Linked DNA regions of Coturnix japonica. The protein of the gene in region 3 purifies or fractionates together with the protein of the main gene of each other region. This does not show direct contact. Links are inferred from orthologs where the notes say so. Each region holds a gene or a part of one and is shown on either strand. Other genes may lie near its edges.

Region 1 (7,489 bases), on a different chromosome or scaffold from region 3:
CCCACTCAATGTGGAACCTGAATGCGGGTCATTAGAACAGCAGAGCAAACTGCTGCAAACTTTCCTGGCTGGATTATGAAAACAGGGTGGGCAGGGAATCACAGAGCAGCTATTAACAGCAGATTTTTCTTTAATGTACTGGACAACTGGCAGATTAACCTCTCTGCCATACTGTGCATGGTATTACACCACGTGTTCTTGGATGTATTTTGCTTATGGGGAATATCAAAATGTCAACCATTGTTTCTGTTAAAGGTCTTTAATGATATTACATTTTAGACCTGTAATGAAACATGGTGCTCAGTGCAGTTTGTAATGCATCTCATTAAACACATTAATAACATGCGTTTCACTGAAAGGTCAGCTTAGTATTGCTGGGAGTTCGCCTTCTTTTCCTTAATCACTTCATTTAAAGCAGCTGAGCTAACTTTAAAACAAGGAGTCTCACCTGCTATAACTCCAAATAAGCTGATTAGCTACATGCTCAGGTCAGGTGTGAGCTGGAAGATAACAGTCAAACACTGGCTTAGGGGTAAGGCCCACAGTCAGGTTGGATCATGGCAGAAGTTCTTGATGTAGTTCTAAGGTAACTCATGGCAGCCTAAGTCAAAGTTTCTCAAACACACAGGTATCAGTTCTGCACATACAAACCGAAGCATTAATAAATTAAACAGATGAAGTTGAGCACCTTGTGTTTATCAGCCGGAGCACGCAGATTTTACTTACCATGTTCAAGAATCTACTACAAGTCTCATCAGATCAGTATCATTAACAACGATCCTAAAAACATCTGAAGCAGCTCCAAACTGAAGTGATATTTGCTGTTGCTTTGACAGCACAGGCCCTTCTCTTTTGTGCTGCATTACTCCTGATTAGGGCAAATCATTGCAATCACAGACCCAGCACAGAACTGCTATCTACACAGTGTCTCAGGACAAAGAAGCATCCCAGCTCTACACCAAGCAGCAATAACCAAGCCATTTACTTTTAAGAACCAGCACAGAAGAGATAAATGAACTTCAATACCCACATGAAGCAGAAACAGCAGCAGGACCCAAGCTGAGGCTCACCAACATCACATAAGAGACAACACAGGCTGTCGGAGATCAGTTAGACATAGACAGACATCAGCAGTTCCCATACACTCATTAATGATTAAGGCAATATAAACTAACAGCTACAAACACACGTGGCTCAAAGCCCTCACTTTCCTATTAATGCTCTCTCACACATATAAAAAACACACCGGCTACAGCAGACTCTATGCAAAGTAAGAAGTTAAAAGAATTCTTACAGCTCTCCACAGCATTGTCGAATTCCTGTCCACCTTCCTTTCTGAAGAGGGGGAAAGTATCTGGCTGAGGAAGCCGGTTGGCTATTACAAGTGCCTTCTGCATCTTGATTCTGCCTTCCAAGATGTGATCCCACAGTGCTTCGTAAGAGAAAGGGGGGAAAAAAGAAGTTATTTCACAAGCCAAAGCACCTGCTCCTTCCCCATCCTATCTGTGATCCTGACTGCAACCCTGAGAACCACAAAAACTCCGTTGTCTTCACTGGTTAGAATGGACTTGTAAATGGACAGTGGTAACTTGACTGAATAGACTGGAAGAAACTTCAGCATTTGAAGAACGATAGCAGATAGCACCACAGCACAGAACTAACAGTGTAAAGTCCCCCTTCCCACCCAAACTACAAGTACATTCAGTGTGGGTTCAATTAAGCCAGCAGAGAAGTATACTCCATAATATGAGATTTTGTAGGAGCGGTGATATCAATGTGCATAGCACGTTTAGTGCAACATCTGCAAACAACACAGGCTGCTGTAGCTTGCACACGCACTGCACCAACAGCAAGTTAAAATGCTGCAGTGTCTCCTGTCACGGGCAGCGTCTGTAGTGTCAGCAAGGTGAATCTCATCAAAACACACAGCAAACATGCACTAACCCAGCTGATTCTTCACCGCTTTTCCTTTTTCCACTTCATCGCTCGCTTGTCCTTTGGAGAATGTCATCACCCCCCCATCATCCTCATTGTCAGTGGCGTCTTTTACGTGGTCATGGTTTTCCCCCTCGTATTTCTCATCATCGCTTCCTTCTTCCATGCTGGCATCATCTTCATCTTCTCCATCACTGCTCCCAACATCATCCATCCCCTCTGCAAATTTCTCAAAGTCTGTGACATTCTGGAAACTGAACTTTGGTGCTTTGGCAGAGGAATCCCTCCCATCATCTTCCAGGTTATCCTCCTGCTCACTGCCAGCACTGCTGGGTTGCTCCTCTGTTTTACTGCCCAAACTGCCATTGTCTTCTGAATCTTCACTGCCGCTGTACCACTCATCTAAGGCTTCTGCAGCTATTAATTCAAAGAGAAAAACATCTGTCACTCTGCCGTATGCAACAACGATGGGTACTGATCTGAGCACTAAACTTGGTTTAATTTTTCATGTTGACCAATTAATGATAAATAAGTAAATGAGTCTATACCCAGGAAAAGATCTTAGTTCTTATCTTCTATAACAATAATTAGTGACATGGTAATCAAACGGGTGTTCATAATTTGCTTTATGTATCTGTCTTTAAAATGAGATGTGCTTGCAGTCATCGAGATATATTGGCCTTAAAGTGACAACTACTTCTTTCCCTTCACACAGCATTCAGCCTCACCTCAAGGTTATTCCCAGCCCCTCCTCCTGAAGAAGGAGACCTCAATGGGGGATTTCCTTTCCCTTCAGATCAAAAAACATGGCCTGAATTTCAAGAAGGCACCTCAAAAAGACGCCCAACTTATTTCTACCTGTTTATAACCCCCCACCGTGGACTTAAAGCTTCTCATCTCAGTTGAGACAGCCCTAATTTGGTCTAGCATGCCAAAACTATAAGTATCCCAACTAAAAGCATAAAGAACTAAGATTCCTTACCAGATCCTTCTTCAGACAGCGCATCTCCCCACAGCTCTTCCCTCAAGGCTTTCCGAGATGTCGCTTTCCCACTGTACCTTTTATCAGCTTCTAAGAGGGCGGCCGAAGCGTTTCTCCGTATCTTACCAACAGGTAAAACTTCATCTGCAGCATCATCCTCAAACCTGTCGATCACTTTAGCAACTGTGGCTGTAGGAAAGGAAACAAATACATAAACAGAACTGAATTTCAGGCCAGAAATCGCCGCTTCTCCCACCCTCCCGCACACCTCAGGCCGCAGCTTCTCATTAGGGCCCACCCGGTACCGTGCCCCCCCCCCACTCTCACGGCGGCGGCTCCACGTGCAGCCTCGGCCCGCAGCCCAGTAGCCTCCCCCATCCTACCCCAGGCCGCCCCCCGCCCACACGGAGCCCTTCCCCGACCCCTTCTCACCTTCCTCCGCGTCATCCTCGGGGTCTCGCAGGTCGGGCCGGGGATTGAGCAGCTCCTCCAGCTGCTGCGCTAAGGGCGCCGCCATCTTGCCGAGCGGAGGGGGCGGGGCCTGGCGGCGCGCGGGGCCCAGAGGGGGCGTGGCCTAAAGTGGGCGGGGCCTCATAGTGGGCGTGGTCTCAATTGGGGGCGTGGTCTCCGTCGAGCCGTGTCCGCCCCCTCTCGTTCTTTGTCCGCGTTAAAGTACGCGGTGGTTCGAGCGGAAACAACCGCCATAAAAGAACCGAAATCCACCATCCGAACCCCCCCCCCCCCCCCCCCGGCACCGGGCTGACCCGCCTCCATCGCTACTGTCATGAGAATTCATATGTGCTGAGTGCTGGAAGGCACGAGAATGATGGGCTCTTACAGCACAGCTGTCCTATATAACTCAATATATATCTATATATCTACTACTTTTCTTCCCCCCTCCACCCCCAGTCTGCACACCCCTGCCATGTGAGCAGTGGGGGCTGTAGGGCACTGCCCACACCTGGCACGGCTCTGCTGCATCCAGCACCTGCAGCTTCGTGTGGGACCCCAGCAAAGCGATGTGGGATAAGTGACCCCCTCCCAGCCCCCAAACACAACGTATCACCTGGAAATGGTGGCTGGGAATAGAGGGCGGTGCATCTCTTGTGGGCAGTGAGAACGGACCCAGGTCGGCACCTCAAACGTGAGCTGTAGGTGGGGGCTTAAAGCTCCCACCCCTCCAGGAGCGGCCCCAGGAGGTCTATTGGGACCCCTTGTTTGGGATGGCACCGGCAGGTTTGTGATGCTGCAAAGTTCAACTGCATCGAGCAGGCGGTTCGTTCATCCCCTTCCTGCCAGCACACGGCTCGCCCTCACCACTTCTCTGCTTCTGAATGTTACAAAGATTAATCCCGACATGCATTCTAATTAGAGCACGGGAAGGCTCAGGCCAAGCCCGGCGCTTCTCCGCGGCTCCGGGATCCAGGTTGGTTCCCCCGAAGCAGGAGCGTTCAGTGCAGCCGCTCGTCCTACAGAGGGCAGAGGAATATCATTAATTACGGGCCCGGCGGCTCCCGCTCCCTGCCGGCCCGCACGGCACCCGCAGGAGGAGCCCGGGGGGCACTTCGCCCCTTTTCCCCCCTCTCCGGTGCCCTTCGGCTCCTTAGGAACCCGTGCATTACCGTCTGCTGCTGCGAGGACTGCATCTCTAGTTATATAGAAACTCACTGGAAACACACGTTATCATCACAAACAAAACCCCTGGATTTTATGCAGTCAAGTATTTACGGTTCCATTTCAACTTTATTTTGTATTTATTTTCTCGTGGTCTGAGTGACAGCTCTGATTCTCTGCATTATATTTGAGGTGTTTTATTATATTTGCTGTTGCTGCCGTGATGTGAAATTAAGGCTCTTCCACATACGTTACAGACGTTTCCAAAGCAGAAGGTGCAAACCGCCATCACTTCTGCATTCTTTTCCCCCTCCAAGTTCACAGCCGTGTTGTTTCCAGACTAAACGATGCCGTTACAAACAAAGGGAGGAGAAATAAATCCAGAGGAAGTGAAGGAGCAGAAACAAATGCTTACCTGAGCAGCTCCTGAGACGTACTCAGCCAACCACAGAACCACTGGCCATTGCCCCATGCATAATTGCATTTTCAAAGCTCTGCACTTCATGGAGTGAAGAAGGGATGTTTCCGACCCCAACAAATGATAAATAGCCCCTCAATAAACGGAGGGCAGCATTTAGCAGTGCTTAATCAGAACGTACCCAGTGTAATTCCTAAGCAATACACAGAAAGTTGTGTGAGTCCTAAGAAAAACGTTGGCTTCTGGAAGCTAGTTCAGATAAGGACATGAAGCAGAATCTGTGGTATTTAAGTCCGTAGTTGTTAAAATGTTTCACCAGCACAGGCTCCTTCTTTACAATCAATTCTCTCTCTTTTTGCCTCCCACTCAGTGGGGTCATTAAACCCGACTCTCAGACTTGGTTTTAATTCCTGGTTTGCATGCCCTCAAATCACGCTGCTGTGGATTTGGTTCACGACCATTTTCTGGACAAACACGGTATCTATCCTTACCCTTTAATTTCAGACCATCACAAAAGCTGTGATGGAAACAGCCGCATGGCCGTGCATCCCACCCAGCCCTCCACCTGCTTAGAAGCTCCAGGAGCCATCAAACTACCCGACATCATTTCTCCAGCTTGCTTCCTCTTCATTCTACTTCTCATTTCCACACTTATTTGCTAAAAGGGGAACAAACCCCACACACATCACATAAAAACACGGGGATTTTTGCTGCTATAAGAGGTTTCCATTTCTCCCACCTATTGGTGGACCATGTCACCTTCCAGGAAACTTCTGGATTTGGCAGCAAAGGGCTCACACTGATGTGCCTGTGTTTGTTACCCTCACACCTTATTCACAGAGATCCTTTTCCTTTCTTTCAGTGCATTCCTTAAATACGCCAACAAAGAAAAGCAGCAATCCATCCCAGTGCTCCCATTGGGCTCCAGGGGACCCACACAGCAGCAGCCCCCACATGTGCTGTGTGGCATTGGCAGCAGCAGATTATGACCCACACAAGGATGGTTAGTGCCTCAACACAGAGCTGCTCTTCCCTACATGTAATTTTCCAGCCCGGCCTTTACTCGTTTTAGACACTGTTTCATTCTGAGATGTTCTCTTTGTATCAGCGATTCAATTTGTCAGCGAAAAAGGAGAACAAGAAGAGGAAGGAGATGGGGGCAAGAAGGGAAGAGCGCACACCAAACCCATCTGCTGCAAGGAAACACATTACAGCCAACTCAGGCGTCTGTAATAAAAATATCTCCCTATAAATATTTGTTTATACTTATGGATGAATTTATTCACGTGCTTTGTTTTTATTTGAGTATTTCCAATATCTCTAATGATCATTCAATCAAAAACCACAACTGTTTCCAAGATTTGATCAACTCTTAATTGTTCTTACACCTCAAGATGTGATGAACGCAGCTCACCCGCATAGACACACGGACTGAGGATGTTCCTAGCAGGCAGGAATTTGAAGGCAACTCAGCGACAGCCACAAAACCTTTTCAGATGGAGCAAAAACCTATTTCTTGCCCCAGAGAGAACTCCCACAGTGAACCATGCGTGTGCATTCTGGAGCACAGAGAGGAGCGCAGCACAGAACCTCAGCACACACAGCCCAACCCCACGGGGTGGCTTCTGTCCTGAGGTTCTCCCTCCATCTCTCCCCATATCCAACATGTGTGGCTGCAGTTCTGTGTCTGCCTGCAGCACAGCCCGCACTGCTCCGGCCTTCAAACCGCCGCAGTGCCGTCCCATTAACAGAGCCGAGCGGTGAGTGCCAAACATGGTGAGATACCATCAGCCTCTCCAACAGCAGCCATTCTGCAGGAAGCACGCTGGTTCTAAAATCAAGCAGGAAAACAATCTAGTTCTCATGGCTCCCAGTAACTGCTGAAAGAGTGCACTGAGCACCATCAAAGCACACACACAACCCTGAGCCCCATCCAGAGATGCCCCAAGGATCAGCACACAGAGGGCCAACCTGAGTCAGAGTGCCCTTCTGGGGCTGTGGTACGGCCACCACACAGCTCCTGCCCAGCAGCCACACAACACAGGGCTGCCCTTCTTCCCATCACTGCCGTAATGAATGTAAAGCTCTCTGGACAACAAGCAACTCAGCATCGTAAGCCGGGTCTGTGACTGAAAGCATAACAAATACCGTTTCAAAAGAGGCCGTCAGAAATCCCACATGGATTCGTACTCAAAATATATTTCTTTAATGGTTCCATTAATTTTAGTTAGAACTTCAAGAATATCTTGTGGTCATCTGGAACATAGAGTACGGACATAAATAAAAGCACCTTCAGCATCTGCCCCGGCCCTACAGATATGCAGCAGCTGATTGTGTTGAACAGAGGGGAAAGTATGCCCTAGTCTGTGTGCTGGGGTGGGAACAGAAAGCCAGACTGATTGCTTATATTTAGTATGTATGAGCATACAAGGCTTAAACACAACATTCTTGCTTGGGGAAAAACTCCAGGCCACTTCCTAGAATAGCAGGAGCATGTAAATCACCGCTGCTACTTGTAAATGATATTTATTTATAGATTG
Region 2 (7,366 bases), on a different chromosome or scaffold from region 3:
TATTTTAAAGTCACTGCGATATCAAGAGCTGCCACAACAAACTGACAAAAGAAAACCCACCGACATTCATTTTCAATATGGAACAAAACAAATGTTGCGAGGCTAAGCCTGTACAAAAAGCCAAGCTCATATCCCCTTATCCAATATGGAATAGCACAGAGCTCTTCTCATGAGAAATTTCCAAGCAGTTTTTAAATCCAAATTTTGAGATCTAAGAAATAATAAGAACATATAAAACCGAAGACTTTAAAACTTCACCCCCAAGAATTATGCTTTCAAAGAGCCCAACAAAAACCTATTTGCAATAAATTATTGGAAAGTGTTAAGTGGCCGCATGCAGCATTTGCTGCCAGCTGATCACTGCTGCACACACAGCCAGCGTACACACATGGAGCTTCTGAAATCATCTGCAAGGCCTGCACTGTACTTCTGTTCTAGAGCAGTCCTGTCTATTACTCCAAATCCTCTTGTAGAGTTCAAGTATTTTGATCATAGCAACCCGTAAAATACCCTTTTAAGGCTTACCATATTCTTTCAGAGATGAATACAGGAAAAAAACATATCTAGGAGTTGGAGCTCATGTTGTTCACATAGAAAGACACATCTGAGTTCTGCAGCCCCAAAACTTGTCAGATCACTTCCCTAAAACCCTCTCCAACAACTGTCATGTTCAGGTCTCTCACTTCTGATGATGCCTCCTGACAGAGCTCATCCTGCCCCGCTTTTTGATTTCTGTAGCCATCAGTTAGGGCAGAAGGGTCAGTGTACAGCAGGCTGGCCACCTTTATAGATGCATGCATGTAAGCACACTTCAGTGCTAGCTAAAAACAACTGAACAAAACTGCTGAAGGATGGCAGCAAACCTCAGCAGAGGTGAAGCCCTTGGAAATCCACAGCAGCATCAGCAACACTGGCAGCAAGAATTACAATTCTTCCATGTGGATTTTAAAAACAAGATCCCAAAACAAAACCCACTTTTCCTTAAAACATCCTCTCCAAATTCCCAGGCAATATTTTTAATAGCTTTCTATTGTGTTCATCTTTCCTTTCTACCACATTTTCTACAGTTTGCATATAATTCCCATGGAGTTCAACTTCCATCTCACCATCATTCCTGTTCTTGTTTTACTTCCTTTAAGTTCTCTTCCACGGTTTCTGGTTTTACGGCTGTTGAATTCTGTTCTTCAGACACGTTTGATGGGTTCTGTTTCATGTCTTCTTTGTTGCTCTTCACCACCTCCTGTAGATTGTATTTTCTGAATAGAACATAGTCTCTCACCACACTCAAGCAACAAACATTCTTTATTATTTCCACCACAACTGTATATTGTGGATTATTGAGATCAACTTTGTTTTCTGGGTTAAGGCTGCCCACAATTCCTGTAAAACAAGATATAGTTTAAAAGATGTTGGGAAAACTGTTTCAGAACATCAGCGTGCTCTCCTGAAAGGGATACAAGTCAGAGAAGATAACATCCCTCTGCTCGTAACCAATTATTACTGACTGCAATTGTGTAAGATCGCAGAACAGAGAAGGATTCTTAAGAAATACTACCCAGAGAACTACAGTAACTAAGAATTATCCTACTGCAACTAGCAAGAAACAAGATGCCAAAGCATGCAACTTGTTGCAGAGCTGTTTTTCAAGTCCCATATTAAATGGAACGTGTATTTTTCAGTATAGTGCTCAGAGAAAACAACTTGATGTAGTCATTTCTAAGCACATATAACTGACACACCAAACTGAATTCACTACTGCACGCCGTTCTGTTTTGTCACCTCGAGACATCGACAGGAAACGCTCATGTCAAGCTCTTTCCACAGCCTCAGAGATGCCTTTACAACTCAACATGCAGATTTTAAGCAACAAACCTCCTCATTTACAGCACTTTTCCTCAAACAGCCTAACCCACGTTATGCATGAAACTGTGATCTGCTTGTATACTCAGATTCAGTTCTGTATGTGATCTATACGTACCTGCCAGCTCCTTAATTACTTCTTCTCTATTCATATGACTGTTATTACGAGCTTTGTAAACGATTTGGAACGTACTCTTATTGGGGGCTTTAAACCAAGGCTCAAAGAACGTTTCTGTGTATTTTTTCATATCTTCCAGAAAAGCTTTGCAAGTTCCAGAAATGGGCAGCATGCGCAGAATGACTCTGGTTTTCTTCTTTTTAGTGGTATGAATGTCCTTTAAAATATGGTGCACCAGGTTCTCAGGTTCTACAAGGAAACAGCTAAGTGTAAGAATCAACCTGGAGGCATCTTCTCCCTTGTTCCCCCCTATAACTATAAGCCGGGGAAATACATGCTTATCTGCACTGTGCTCAGCCTCAATCTGAACATTCCCTCTCATCCTATCACTGTTACCTGGGATCAGAGGCCAACCCCCAGCCCTCCCACAGCCTCCTTTCAGGAGCAGTACCGTGCAGTAAGGTCTCCACTGAGACTCTTCTTGAGATTGAACCATCCCACTCCCCCAGCTTCCTCCTATGAGCCATGTGCTCCAGACACCTCTCAGACCCCATTACTGTTCTCTGGACACACTCCAGGTCCCCGATATCTTCCTTGCAGTGAGGGCCCAGCAGCGCACACAGCACTAGGGGCGCAGCCTCCCCAGGGCTGAGCACTGAGCGCTGCCCCCCGCCCCGTCCTGCTGGCTGCTCTAGTTCTGATACAGCCCATGATGCCGCCGACCTTCCTGGCTGCTCCCCCCCCCCCAGGAGAAGCCCCGGCCCCGCGTGGCCCGTGATCCCCGCGGTGCGGCCCGCGCACACGCACCTATTCCCTGGGTACGGATGAACACGACGTTGTTGGCGCCGCTCTCCACCGACTGGAAGCGCCGCAGCCGCCGCTCGGTGGAGGCGCGGATCTGCCCGACCTCCTTCTTCAGCGCGGCCTCCGCGTCGTCCTCCTCCTCCTCCTGCTCCTCCTCCTCCCTGTCGCTCCCCGACAGACGCTCCGCGGGCTCCGGCAGCTGCGGGCACACGGTGCGTGTCCCGCGGTCAGCGCCGAGCGGAGCCGACACCCGGTACCGAGGGACCGGCCCGACCCAAACCCGGTCAGCGGCACAGGGACACGGCGGGGACACGGACACGGCGGGGACACGGACACGGCGGGGACACGGACACGGCGGGGACACGGAGCGAGACCGCGCGGCCGCCATCATCGTCCTCATCCTCCTCCTCATCCTCCCCCCCCCACTCCCGCCCCCGTCGGACGGGCCGCACTCACCTGCTCGGGCCCGTACAGCAGGTCCCCGTACTCGCCCAGCAGGCTGTAGGCCTCCCCCACGCACTTGCGCTCGTTCATGTTGCAGGTGATGAGGATGCCGCGCATCCCGGCCTCCAGCTGCCGCCCGGCGCCGCGGGGCCGCTTGGAGCGAGCCAAGAACTGCGACTTCAGCCGCCGCTTCCGAGCCAACAACTGCGGGGCGGCCATGGCAGCCTGGAGCCGCGCGGAGAGATGACGTCACACTGCGCGACTCAGCACGTGGCACCGGGGCGGGGCGGGGCTGGGGGCGGGGCTGGGCGCGGGGTGGGCGGGTGCGGGTGCGGGTGTGTGTGTGTGTGTGTCTGTGTGTGTGTGTGTCTGTGTGTGTGGGTGTCTGTGTGTGTTTGCGTGTGTTTGCTTCATCCCGCGCTCTTCATTGCTCGCCCTCTAGATGAAGTCTCTCCGTTGACGCGTTGTACAATCAATAATAAACAGAGGTTACACGGATGTTTGGTTAAGAAAGAGGAAAAGGCAAAAAGAGCCTAGAAATGCCACGGCCGTGGGCAGAGCGCTTACAGAACGCTGTGCCAGCTGCAGCACCCCAGGAATCAAGTCACATCTGCGCTGCTGTAGTTACGATCTGCTGTTCCTTGTGCTGCCCCACACACAGTGTAACAGCCTGGAGTTGGCTGCAGCAAGGCTCTAAGGCTGCACTTGTCCGGAGCCAGGGGTAGGAACTGGAAGGAAACAGGAGAGATTTGCACCTTCACGTCACTCTCTGCTTCCACTCTGAGCTCTGCAGAAACCTGTCAGCTCTTCTCTCCAGATGGGACCTGTCTGCCCCTTGTGTGAGTCCAAAGTACGTGGAACAGAAGCAGCCGGCTGTCACTGAGCACAGCAGCAGTGCCAGGGGAGCTGTGCAACCGAAGCCTTGGATTTGTGCAAGCAATCAAAGCTGCAGCGCATCTCAGCTGCTGGAGGGCTGAGAGTAAGAGGTGAGTTGACAGCCCCTGCTCAAGGTGACCAGCTCCCCAGCCAGCCGTGCTGCTGCTGGACGGGACACTTTGTGGTACTGGAACAAGACTGATGTGCCTCTTACCTGTCTGCATTCCTTGTTCTCCTTGCCTCTCCACACCTTCCATCTCGCTGGGATTCTCTCCTGTGTCTGTCATAAACAGATTGAATGTTATAGATCAAAATCTGTCCCTTTGCTTCACCAAATTGCTGAAATCATGTGGGTTTACGGCTGGATGATGATTAATTCAGCAAGGAGTTATCAGTGTTTGTATTATTTTGCAAACAAATGTCAACGATGCATGCAAATAATGTTAGTTGAGTTTTCTGCCCTCTTCCTAAGCTGACGGTAGAGAAACACAGCTCTGCATTTTGAATCCCTTATCATGGAGTCTTTCAAACTTTCCCCAGCTCAGACAGAGGTGGATTTGGCTGACTGCACATCAAAGCAGTGTTTAAAACAGCAGTACTAAAACATTTTCAGGGCTCTCCTATATGCATTGTACTCTTGGCAAGCAGCATAACCCCAGCACTGATGAACTGGGTAAACTGCAGATGCCTTTGAAGCAAGTAATGCTGCAATCAGCTAGTAAACTCATGCGGGACTGTAGGTTTTCTATGCACCATCTTAGTCCATGCTGCTACTTCAGTGTTGTCAGTTAGTAGCAGTCCTTCCATTCCCAGCAGCCACACTTTAGGTGCTTTCAGTGCCCCTCCTATGTAACAGCAGTGCTGTCGAGCACCATCCAGCAGATGGATGGGAGCTGTGGGGAGGGAAAGGCTGTGACACATGGATACGCTGCACTGCTGTCTGGCCTGAGTGTGGCAAGTTGGGTCAGATCTCAGCTGTGTGATGATCAGTGGGAGCAGGGACCTACAGCAGCAGATCCAGAACTGTCATCACCAGGTATTCCAGATACAGTCATTGTTATTCCAGCTCATTCCACTGCATGGTAGTAAATGCTGATTTGAAACTCCATGGCTAACACCAGGTTTGTATCTGTATATCTGCAGCATTTCTTGGAGGCTGCTTGAGTTGCTGCTGCTATGCGGTGTCTCCTGAAGGCCCTGAATGTTGTGTCCCTGCACGCTTCCCTGAGAAGATCTCGCCAGCTTTGCAGCCAGAGCTCTCCAGCTCAAACCTCGTTTAGTTACGAACTCATGAAGCAACAGTACAGACCAGAGGTGCCAGAGTACTTCAACTTTGCGAGCAATGTGTTAGACAGATGGACCGAAGTAGAAAAGGTAACAGCTACTCATCTGCTCTGCTGCTGAAGAGCTGAGCTGCCAGGCACATCCATCCAGCACGCTGCTGTAGTTATGCTCCGGCTATAATCTCATGGCCATCTCATGTAGTTTGAACCTGTAAACCCCCTAGGCCACATGCTGCCCTGTTTGTGGGCCTGAGCGATTTATTTCTTTAATGAGTAACTCTGGGGACACTGACCCTGAGTAAATTTGTGCCTTAAGGACAAGACCAACTGGAGCACTCTGAGCCTTGCACCACTTCCCCTAGCAGCTGTGACAAGCACCCAGCCTGTGTGTGTGAGGCAAAGCACTCAGCCCACACACATTTCACTGCTTGCCTGCAAAATGAGTAACACCGTGTGTTGCCGAACCTCCCACTCTTTTCTGGTCATGAAATGTTTGCATCAGGAGCTATCAGTCCACAAAACCAAAACACTTGGAGTGCCCAAACAGGCACAAGCTCTAAGCAAGGGATGAACACCTGAAGAGTTTTGCCCTCTGAAGTACACAGCAGAACTCTTCTCCCTGGAGATGAACCTTAGTGTTGTTCTACCTTCAAACAGAAAACAAGATGCCATGTTCTTGCTGCCTCTGTGAGGTTTTCTTTGCTCAGGAAGCGACTTGTACAATGTCACTGCTAAAGCAGCAGTCCCCTTAAGAGCACACTGTGTACATACATTTCACTTTTCACACATCTGTTAGCTGATTAGAGGTCACGCTGTGCTTCTGAACCTCAGATCTAATCTCAGAAGTAACAAAGAGGCCCAATTCAAGAATAAGTTTGAAATGAACTCAGAGAGTTTGTGAAACTGAGGCACAGCTCAGCTGCACCTGTGTCCATTGGCAGCTTTGTTTGTGGCCAGGAACAGAAGGCTGGACAGCCTCTGCAGGGGGAAACACCATGAGCTCAGGAAAGGAATGCAAATTTAATTTCTAACATGATATTTGTAGGCTGCTCTTCCTGATGGAGAGACTCACTCGTTTGGAGCCATCAGCAAATTTCAGCTTCATCCCCAGATTCCTCCAGCGCTGAATTAGTGCCAAATGCTTTGTTTCCTTAGACCTAATTAAGGTACAGGTGGTATGTTCCTAAAGTGAAGCTTTTGCCTTGTACCCTGTCGTTCTATAGGAGGGAAAAAAGCCTAAAACCCCCGCATTGTGGTGGGTAGATGGTGATGGAGAAGAGGTGAAGTGGAGCTTTGAGGAGCTGGGAGTGCTGTCCAGGAAGGCAGCCAATGTACTTTCTGGTGCCTGCAGTCTGCAGTGCGGGGACAGAGTTCTTCTGCTTCTGCCACGGATCCCAGAGTGGTGGCTGCTGAATGTGGCTTGCATGAGAACAGGTTGGTGAGATCATACAGGTGGCGTACGGGGACAGAAATCATGACTTAAACCAATCCTTGCTACTTAATGCATGCAGAACTAGAAACATGCTATTAAGGATGAACTAGTAAAACAAGGGCACCCTTCATGCCAAATGTGGCATTTCTATGTAGTTCTGCACATGCTCTAGATATTAAGGAATCACCATGAGTCCACTCTCCCTGGGCATTCTCCTTTCTCCAGCACCAGTGATGCATCCCAAGTGCACCTTCTTGCGACCTTGCAGTGAAGTTGGCCCACATTTAGCCAAGTGTTTCACGTGGCCCCTGTGGGATCCATTACCTGCTCAGTTTGCCAGTGTTTTCAACCCAGAATGTCGTAGTGCCCCACAAACACTAGTGGGGTACAGTAAAGAAATTGAGTCCAGAGGGATGGCATGGTCCTCAGGAGGGTCTTCAGAACAAGGGAAGTTCTTCACTTGATTTCTTTTAGTGTCCCATGTCCAGGTTGGTACCTCCTAACTTGTGCTCATCCTCACACAGAATTCAATCCTCCAAAGTCAGTATA
Region 3 (8,208 bases):
TGTTAACATTTATTTCCTGCTTATTACAAACCCTTGAGCTATCAGCAACTTTTTAAATGCTGACTTCTCCAGATCAGCTTCCTGTCTCCATTTTAGCCCTCTCATTTATTCTCATCCTCATACAGAAAGTCACCACTATAGTCTTTGAGCTATTCTGTCCAAACAATTTTTCAAGAACTCTAAGACAGCTTCCATCGACGTTCATGCTTTCAGACTTGGTTACTTGAGAGATGAGACACAAATACCTGCTCCTACAGTGATTTGTCAAGCACACGGGATCTTGTATTTAAGTACTACACCAACCTGATCCAAGGTTTTACAGCCATCCACCAGAACTCCTACAGGCTGTGTATCCTGCAGGCTCTCCTTCAGCTCTTTCAGCTCCAAGTCTTGTGGCCGGAGACTATCTTCCTATAAACACAGAATTTTCCATAACAGGATTAGTACGGGACACCTCAGCACAATTACACTTTTGTGACATCCTGGGATATCTTTTATCAGGTAAAGAAAGATATCTGAAAGAAAGCGTTACCACAAGTTGAATAAGCTCTCTAAAGAAAGGAAAGTTTAAACGTGTAGACAGATACTTAACAATTCAATTTTAATGCATTTTCAAAACAGTGATGTATTATACAACAAGTATGTTGGATTCCCCAAGCTCGGAAGAAAAAAGCATAGTATTTTTCAGTGTGTGGTAACGGGATAGTGGCAGTGATAGAAAGAAGAGACCACAGACAATTTTTTTCTGAAGAATTTAATCCATTTTTCAGTCTTCAGGATAAGCCAAAATGTTACGATCTTCATTATACCTGTCATATGGGATCTACATACTGTAATTTAAGAGGAAGCAGCAGCAATTGGTCAGTTTTCTAACCAATGCCAATATTCTGAAAGCCAATCAATTAGCTCAGACACAAAAGAAATCCATTTCAAGTAGAAACAGATTCTGAATTTCCTAATTGTCACTGAAAATTCCAAAGGCATCTGTCTATGCCATTATCTGATATCAATCAGTGTGAAAGGAAAGCCGTCTCTTTTTCAGCCCTTTAATGCTTTTCAACTCAGACTAGTTTCTCCCAGTGAGAAGTGTCTGTCATTGCTTACTGACCTGTGACTGTGGTGGAACAGGTGTGATGTTTGCAACGTGACTGGAGATGGGCAAGATATTCAGCTGATCATCAATCACGATGCAATTCTTGCATGAGGCCAGAGACAGAATGAACCTGAGCAGTCAAGCAAAGGCAACTCAGTAAAAGCACTAGCAACACTACTGCATCTTGATGATTAATTAAACCTCTGTTCTAAGTGTTTACAGCAACAGCAGCTTAAAACTAAGATGAGACAAGTTCACATAACTGGTAACATGCCTCTTATCAGGATAGTTTATGCAGGACAGACATCCACTTACAGGGGAACACGCCTCCAAAGAAAACTGCTAACATATGATGATCCACCAAGAGAACTAGAAAGCAACTTCCAGCATTTAAGCGGGAGGTGGCTGCATAGAAGTTCAAGATAATTGTGACAAATGCTGACCACCAGCAAAGACTGTGGTCAGCGCCTGGTTTATTCATCCTTCTAATTTCAGACACCACAAAAATACCCCTTGCATGCAAAAGAACGATTTTTTCCAATGGCTACAGCAGGGGCTCAGTCACTCAATAACAACTTCATTGATACAACAAAAGGAGAGGAATCACCTTTAAACGGAAGTTCTAAAGCCACAGAGAAGACTCCACAGTGAGCAGTTTCATGTTTTATAGTAGGTATAGTAAGCACCAAGTATCTGAATTTCCTTATCTAGAGTACATGTTTCTATGTAGCATTTCAATAACAGAACTCAGAAGATTTTACAAATCTGGGAAAATTTGCACATCCTTTGTAATATAACGCTAAAATTTTGTATACAGTTTCTCCAACAAGATATAACATTCATTCCAGGACAGTACATATAAACTTCACAGAAGCAGCAAAGAATCCCTAATTCTCATGCAAACTTACAGGATACTTTCCTGATATGAACACATGATGTTGCTCTAGGCACCCTTCTGACACACACTTTGAATGCCCGATGACATACCTTTCATTAAAGCGTCCTACCACGTCCTGATGTGCCTCTGTTCTATATCGAGAGTGGACATCCTGAAACAAAAAGTCAGTCTGGAGAAGGAGCAGCAGTAGCAGAGACACTTAAAACATTATTACCTCATGGGACAATCCCATTTATTTTCCACCCTTGTGGACTACATTCACTCTCTCCATCAGCGCTGCATCCCAGACTGGATTCTGACTTTGTTTGCTGAGACAATCAGATATTCCAAATACTGCTTTAAAAACATACTTCTCCCACCAAGACTTTTCAGTGCAGTCTTACGTATTCTTGTCTGATTTAAAGGCCACATCTACTACATACAGAACATTTAAAGCAGCACAGAGATGCTAAGTAGAAATAATTTAATGCTTTAATTCACCTACTGGCATTATAAACATGGGAATGGTGAAGCTCTGGGTGACTTAGCACTGGGCCAGAAAACACAGCTATGTTTGTTGGCAGCACAAGGAATGGTGTAACTGCACAAACACAAACCTCACTCCAGGTTAAATGAAAGAACCAGCAGCAGAAGTAATGGAAAGAAGACTCCAACCCATAACAAAAGCAAAAACTAAGCACTTAACATCACCAAATGTACCTGCCTATGTAAAACAGACATATTGCATTGAACTTACCATGGTCATTGTATAGAGCTGCTTCAGTGAGTTCATTGTTCTCAGCAGAATTACTACAATTCCACCCCCTTCCACTGTTTCTACAGTTCTAGCCAGCAGGTTTGGAGTCAAGGCTTCAAAATCCTTGGAAATGAAAAAATAAACCTTAAAGTTGCCTAGAATTCTCAAGTGCAATAGCAGCTACTAAAAAGAAGAGAAGAACTATAAACATTTATCAGAGTTTGAATTAAACTTAACATTTGCATTAACCAACTTTCCATTACAATTCTAAGGCTGTGACCCCCCACAAAACTCATAAGTAAGGCCATCAAAACTTAAGTAACAGAAGCAACAAATAGAATTACTGCAGCTGTTCAACTCAAAGCAATCAATACTAGTGCAACATCCTTTACGTAAAAAGCTGAATTCCTTACCTGAAGCACACACATGCCAAAAGTGTTACCAAGGATCTTATGAGTTTCATTGTAATAGCAGTAGCGAATGTTTGTGGCTGCTATAAACAATTCGAAAGGATCATCATCTTTTATGTTCAAGGTTCCACTTTTAATCTTCTTCTGCAGTTGCCTCATTCTCTTCTTCCGGTGGCTGGAGAATAAAACTCCATGTAAGTTTTTCTGGGAAATGGTTTGAGAAGACTCTGCTCTCATTCCTAGTTTCAAGTCTAAATGGAATTCAGAGCTCGGGCTCCAAGGAAAAGTCTTGCATTACAAACACTGTACTCAGGGTATGTTCCCCAGTGCCTTTGGCCCAGAGCAGCACAAACAACACTGAACCAGCTGTTTTTGGAAGAAATCATCTGGTTGGAATCACACAGTTTCAAGTAACCCTTCCCAGTTTTGTGCCTGGACTTCAAGTATGATCGCAAATCTAAGAACTAACGTTTTAAACCCCTTTTTGAAATGAAAGCAACTGTAATGCCTCATCTGTACCCAGCTGTACATACTACTGAGGCACTGAAGTTTTGGCTGTTTGAGATTAGAAAGGTGAGGGAGAAATTGGCTCAGGACAACAGGGTTAGTGTTGAAACTACATAAGGAAACCAGAAGTACGTAGCACTGATGCCAACCATACCAGTGAAGCCAAATCTTAGCTCTGGAAAACTGAGCATCCTGTATCTGCTGCAAAAATAAGACTTGTTTCTCCTGATAATCAAATCAGCCCGTACTATGCAGAGCAGCCACACAGCTTCCCCTTCACACAGAGTACTACTGCAACACGAGATGCAAAAGGCCCCTTTACCTGCTAAAGCCCAGCTCCTTCTTGTAACACCACAGGACGGACGGCCTGGCCTTGACAGTTGCTTTGGACAACATGTGGTGCAGTATAACCACCTGCCAAGACACAGAAATATCAACGCATGATTGTATTCATAAGCTAACAAGGAGCAACATACATTTCAGCAGGGTCTGCTGAGACAAGACAAGGGCAAATGGTTTCAAATTAACAGAGTGGATGAAAGGAAGAATATGTTTATAGTAAGGGCGGTGAGGCGCTGGCACAGGTTGCCCAGAGAGACAGCAGATGCCCCATCCCTGTAGACACCAAAGGCCAGGATGGATGTGCTCTGAGCACCTCATCACACAGAATCACACAGAATGACCCGGGTTGGAAGGGACCTCAAGGATCATGTAGTTCCAACCCCCCTGCCTGGCAGGGCCACCAAACATACACATTTACTAGATCAGGTTGCCCAGGGCCCCATCCAACCTGGTCTTGAACACCTCCAAAGACGGGGCATCCACAACCTCCCTGGGCAGCCTGTTCCAGGGCCTAACCACTCTCCTAGTGAAGAACTTCCCCCTAACATCCAACCTAAATCTTCCCTCTTTTAACTTAAAACCATTTCCCCTAGTCCTGTTATTGTCAGCCCTTTAGAGTTTACTCCCCTCCTGGCAGTAAGTTCCCTTCAGGTACTGAAAGGCTGCAATGAGGTCACCCCGCAACCTTCTCTTCTCCAGGCTGAACAAACCCAACTCCCTCAGCCTGTCCTCATAGGGGAGGTGCTCCATCCCCCTGATCATCTTTGTGGCCCTCCTCTGGACCCTTTCCAAAATCTCCATGTCTTTTTTGTACTGAGGGCTCCACACCTGGACACAGTACTCCAGATGGGGCCTCACAAGAGCAGAGTAGAGAGGGACAATCAGCTCCCTATCCCTGCTGACCACCCCTCTCCTGATGGAGCCCCAGGATCCCATTTGCTTTCCGGACACCAAAGGCCAGGATAGAAGTGCTGTGAGCACCTCATCAAGCGGAGGCGTCCCTGCTCATTGCTCACCTGGTCCTTGCCGCGGTCACCTACCACCACGAAGAGGCCCCTCTGCCGCTCGGCCACCCCGTTCTCGATCAGCACCCGGATGCGGTTGTCCACCTTGCGGCGCTGCATGTTGCCGTCCGAGCTCTCGGCCCTTCTCCCCTCACTCCGTGTCCCGGCCGAAACCGCCGGTTCCACAAGCAGCGCCCGCGGAGCTGCCCCCAACACACGTGGGAGCCGCGCGGCGCAGGGCGAGAGCGACGCCGCTCAGGAAGGACCTCGAGGAGAGGCTGCCCCGGAGAGCGCCTGACAGCGGCGGCTCCCTCAGCGCGGGGCGAAGGAATAAAGGGGGATGGGGGCTGAAGGAACATGACTTCTGGTGCAGCTGTTATCCTATTAAGAGCTGATACTCATCAGTCTCACCCCAAACAAGCATTACTGTTGAGTTAGAACAGCATATTGCTAATACAGTTCTCTATAGCACTGCTCCAGTTGGCTTTAAGATGTGAATATGGGAAACTATTTTCCTTGCTTCCATTAAGGCTAGACCTACAGAATCACAAACAACACTGATCACATCATATTAAAAAGCCTAAGAAAACAAATAGAACAGCACCTCCTAGATAAGCCATTTAGGAAATTAGTTTCTTATCAGAGGCTCTGTGATACCACACCTGAAATCCAACATACCCAGATTATGAAATTATGTAGAAAGAGACAGAAATCCAAGATGCTGCCTCTAAATCTTTATATAAATAGATGAGGGTCAGAGCTTTCTTTCAGGTATAGTCTTCAAGCTTCATTAAAAGCCCACTTACAGCTTTCCCCTCAGGTTACATTCCCTAATGCTTAAATTAGATTATTTGAATGCAATATCAATCCCCAAACAGCCAGGTGCAGTGCTAACAGTAAACATCCTCTTTGCATCCTTTAAGATGTGCTGATTGGGATGAAAAACATTTAATATGCCACAAAATGCAAATAGTTGCAGCTGGGACAGCTTGAAGGACCTTCTCCCTCCCCCTCTGAAAAAATCATCACGGCCAAACAAAAGGAGTTTAAGTCATTACCTTTCTTCATGAGCATAGAGTGTGCTGATCTCACATTAAAGAACGGAATATTCCCAAAGGTAACGTAAAAGCTTCTTGTGCTTAATCCTGCAGCTGAACGTAAGGAATGTGACATTAGTATAAGACTAATTGCACGCTTAGTTTCTGATGTTGCGATGGAATAAGGTAGCCTTATGATTTACAGAAAGAATTACAAGGATCCCAAAGCAGTTTTGCAAGGCATTTTCTAGAAGATGATCATAACTATATTTAAGCTTAAGTTTTAAAAAGAAAACCACTATCTCTTGAAGCCCAGAAGGAAAACTTTCTTGTTTAGGACTTCTTGCTTGCAGCTCAAACAAAGCACTGATTTTCAGGTCACTCAGAGGTAAAAGATAACTACCCATCTTATCTGCAGAACTGATGGTGTCAGCTCAGCTGATTAAATGCCTTCATTGTTCTACACAGAAGGCAGATGGAACACTGTAACAATAAGGTACGCGGATCTGAAAGACTGAGGCAGTTCTGTTCATTTAATTGCAAACCTCATCTCCATCTACGAATTCCTATCTTTATAGTCCTCAAAAAGTTCATTCAAGATGAGTTTTGCATGGACAAGAGGAAGGAGCTTTAGCTTTCAAAGTGTGACTCCGATGGTCTTTCACAGAACTTAACGAGCAGCTTCTTCACGTCCCTTATTACCTACAGCAGACTTGAGATAAGGAGAAATCAGAAGATTACAGCACAGTTTTGCCCACTGATGCTTAACATCTGCATCTCAGATAAGCATTTCTGAGGAATAATAATTGCAAAGAAATGGTTTAAAAAGAAGAAATCAGCTACCTGGCTCGGCTACTGCCAGACCTTCAAATAAAGACCAGGAAGGTCAAAAATCTTCTGATCATTTACCTTATTCTGCTGGATTACGAAGTTTTTGCCCTATCTGCAGTTAATCACAGGAAGTTTTTGTTTATTATTTGTTATTATCACACTTTGAATATTTGCCTAGGGTTAAAGCCATTTCAACACCTCCCTTTCCAAAGTCATTACTCAAATGCCATTTGGGAAGAGTACAGCTCGCCCATTCTATACAACAATATACATTAAGGTAACCTCAAACCTAATCAGATAATCTACCTAAATTATAAGGTTTGAGAAGACTTTTAAGGTCCTGAAATTCTCTGAAAGTTACAGAGTCCCAGCAGTACGCATCAGTAGCTCTTAGCCTGCCATCACTATCATTCTTGCAGCTAGTCTGGACCATGTCTGATCATAAGACTTCAATGCTTCACTACTATATCCTGACAAGAAAAATCATAGTTAAGCCTAGAATTAAGAATTATCTTCATAGCAAAATCCAACATTTGTATTGGTGGGCTGTTCTTCAGAAGAGAGCCAATATATAGGGAAAAGTAAGTAGGACATGGTTGACCTTAAGTACAAGCAGCTCAAGATTGTCCAGAAAGGTCTTAAGTGTCCCAGACACAGCAATATTAGGCAGAAACATCTGGGAAACTCTGGAACCACTTTACACATGATTTACTCAAGAATCCTTTTATTACAGACTGCAACGATAAAAGCTGGTTCTCAAACACACTGTATGTTATCACAGCCTTGCTATGTTGGATAATGAAGTCCCAGTTAGGAATAAAAACACCTCTCTCGTAATAGCTACACATGCCAGAAGACAATCATTACTTTCTGTTATGCTGCAAAGAGACCAATTCAGAGAAAAATAAAGTTAACTACCATGGAAACAATTGGTGAATCTAAATACAGAAGTATGGAATTTGCTCACTGGTGTCCAGAAAGGGCTCTACAACAGAACCAGGCCAGACCTGCTACCTATTGCACTTTCTTACCATCATAACTGTTTGATGTTCAGAAGACAGATTTGTTTTTCCTAAATGAAAGCGATCTAGAATTGCTTTTGATCCGAATGCAGCTCAGATCTATTAGTCATCTAAGCAGTGAAGGTACTTAAAAGCTCTCAAGTCCTCTCTCTCAATAGCTTTTTAAAACGTGTAGCACCACACTTGCACTGCAGTGGACCAAACAAAGAAAACAAGCTGGGCCCTTACAATCAACCATGAAGCTGACTGATGGACCCCCTGAACAGGCCAGAAAACCAGTTAATGAATCTACGTGCCATAGTGTGACTCGAGGCAATTTTTCAGTATA

Evidence for each region.
Region 1: the proteins of NAT10 (region 3) and AATF purify together in Homo sapiens (affinity purification with mass spectrometry; 3 studies listed by BioGRID and IntAct, with this or other methods). This does not show direct contact. The link is inferred for Coturnix japonica from reciprocal best matches to the Homo sapiens genes NAT10 and AATF.
Region 2: the proteins of NAT10 (region 3) and THUMPD1 purify together in Homo sapiens (co-immunoprecipitation; 3 studies listed by BioGRID and IntAct, counting the BioPlex papers as one, with this or other methods). This does not show direct contact. The link is inferred for Coturnix japonica from reciprocal best matches to the Homo sapiens genes NAT10 and THUMPD1.

The regions. Positions count from the first base shown.
Region 1 is NC_029534.1:7,136,190-7,143,678, reverse strand, and holds the start of AATF (protein AATF), read right to left. Parts: upstream 3,486-7,489; 5' UTR 3,435-3,485; coding exon 3,350-3,434; intron 3,107-3,349; coding exon 2,918-3,106; intron 2,353-2,917; coding exon 1,945-2,352; intron 1,433-1,944; coding exon 1,295-1,432; intron 1-1,294. UniProt on the Homo sapiens protein: Part of the small subunit (SSU) processome, first precursor of the small eukaryotic ribosomal subunit.
Region 2 is NC_029529.1:12,664,629-12,671,994, forward strand, and holds the start of THUMPD1 (THUMP domain-containing protein 1), read right to left. Parts: upstream 3,486-7,366; 5' UTR 3,446-3,485; coding exon 3,239-3,445; intron 2,982-3,238; coding exon 2,786-2,981; intron 2,228-2,785; coding exon 1,979-2,227; intron 1,381-1,978; coding exon 1,109-1,380; 3' UTR 1-1,108. Other genes in the region: acyl-coenzyme A synthetase ACSM3, mitochondrial-like, read left to right, coding at 5,279-5,476, 6,609-6,819. UniProt on the Homo sapiens protein: Functions as a tRNA-binding adapter to mediate NAT10-dependent tRNA acetylation modifying cytidine to N4-acetylcytidine (ac4C).
Region 3 is NC_029520.1:6,321,691-6,329,898, forward strand, and holds the start of NAT10 (RNA cytidine acetyltransferase), read right to left. Parts: upstream 5,252-8,208; 5' UTR 5,111-5,251; coding exon 5,003-5,110; intron 4,059-5,002; coding exon 3,967-4,058; intron 3,313-3,966; coding exon 3,141-3,312; intron 2,851-3,140; coding exon 2,728-2,850; intron 2,143-2,727; coding exon 2,081-2,142; intron 1,224-2,080; coding exon 1,109-1,223; intron 412-1,108; coding exon 304-411; intron 1-303. UniProt on the Homo sapiens protein: RNA cytidine acetyltransferase that catalyzes the formation of N(4)-acetylcytidine (ac4C) modification on mRNAs, 18S rRNA and tRNAs.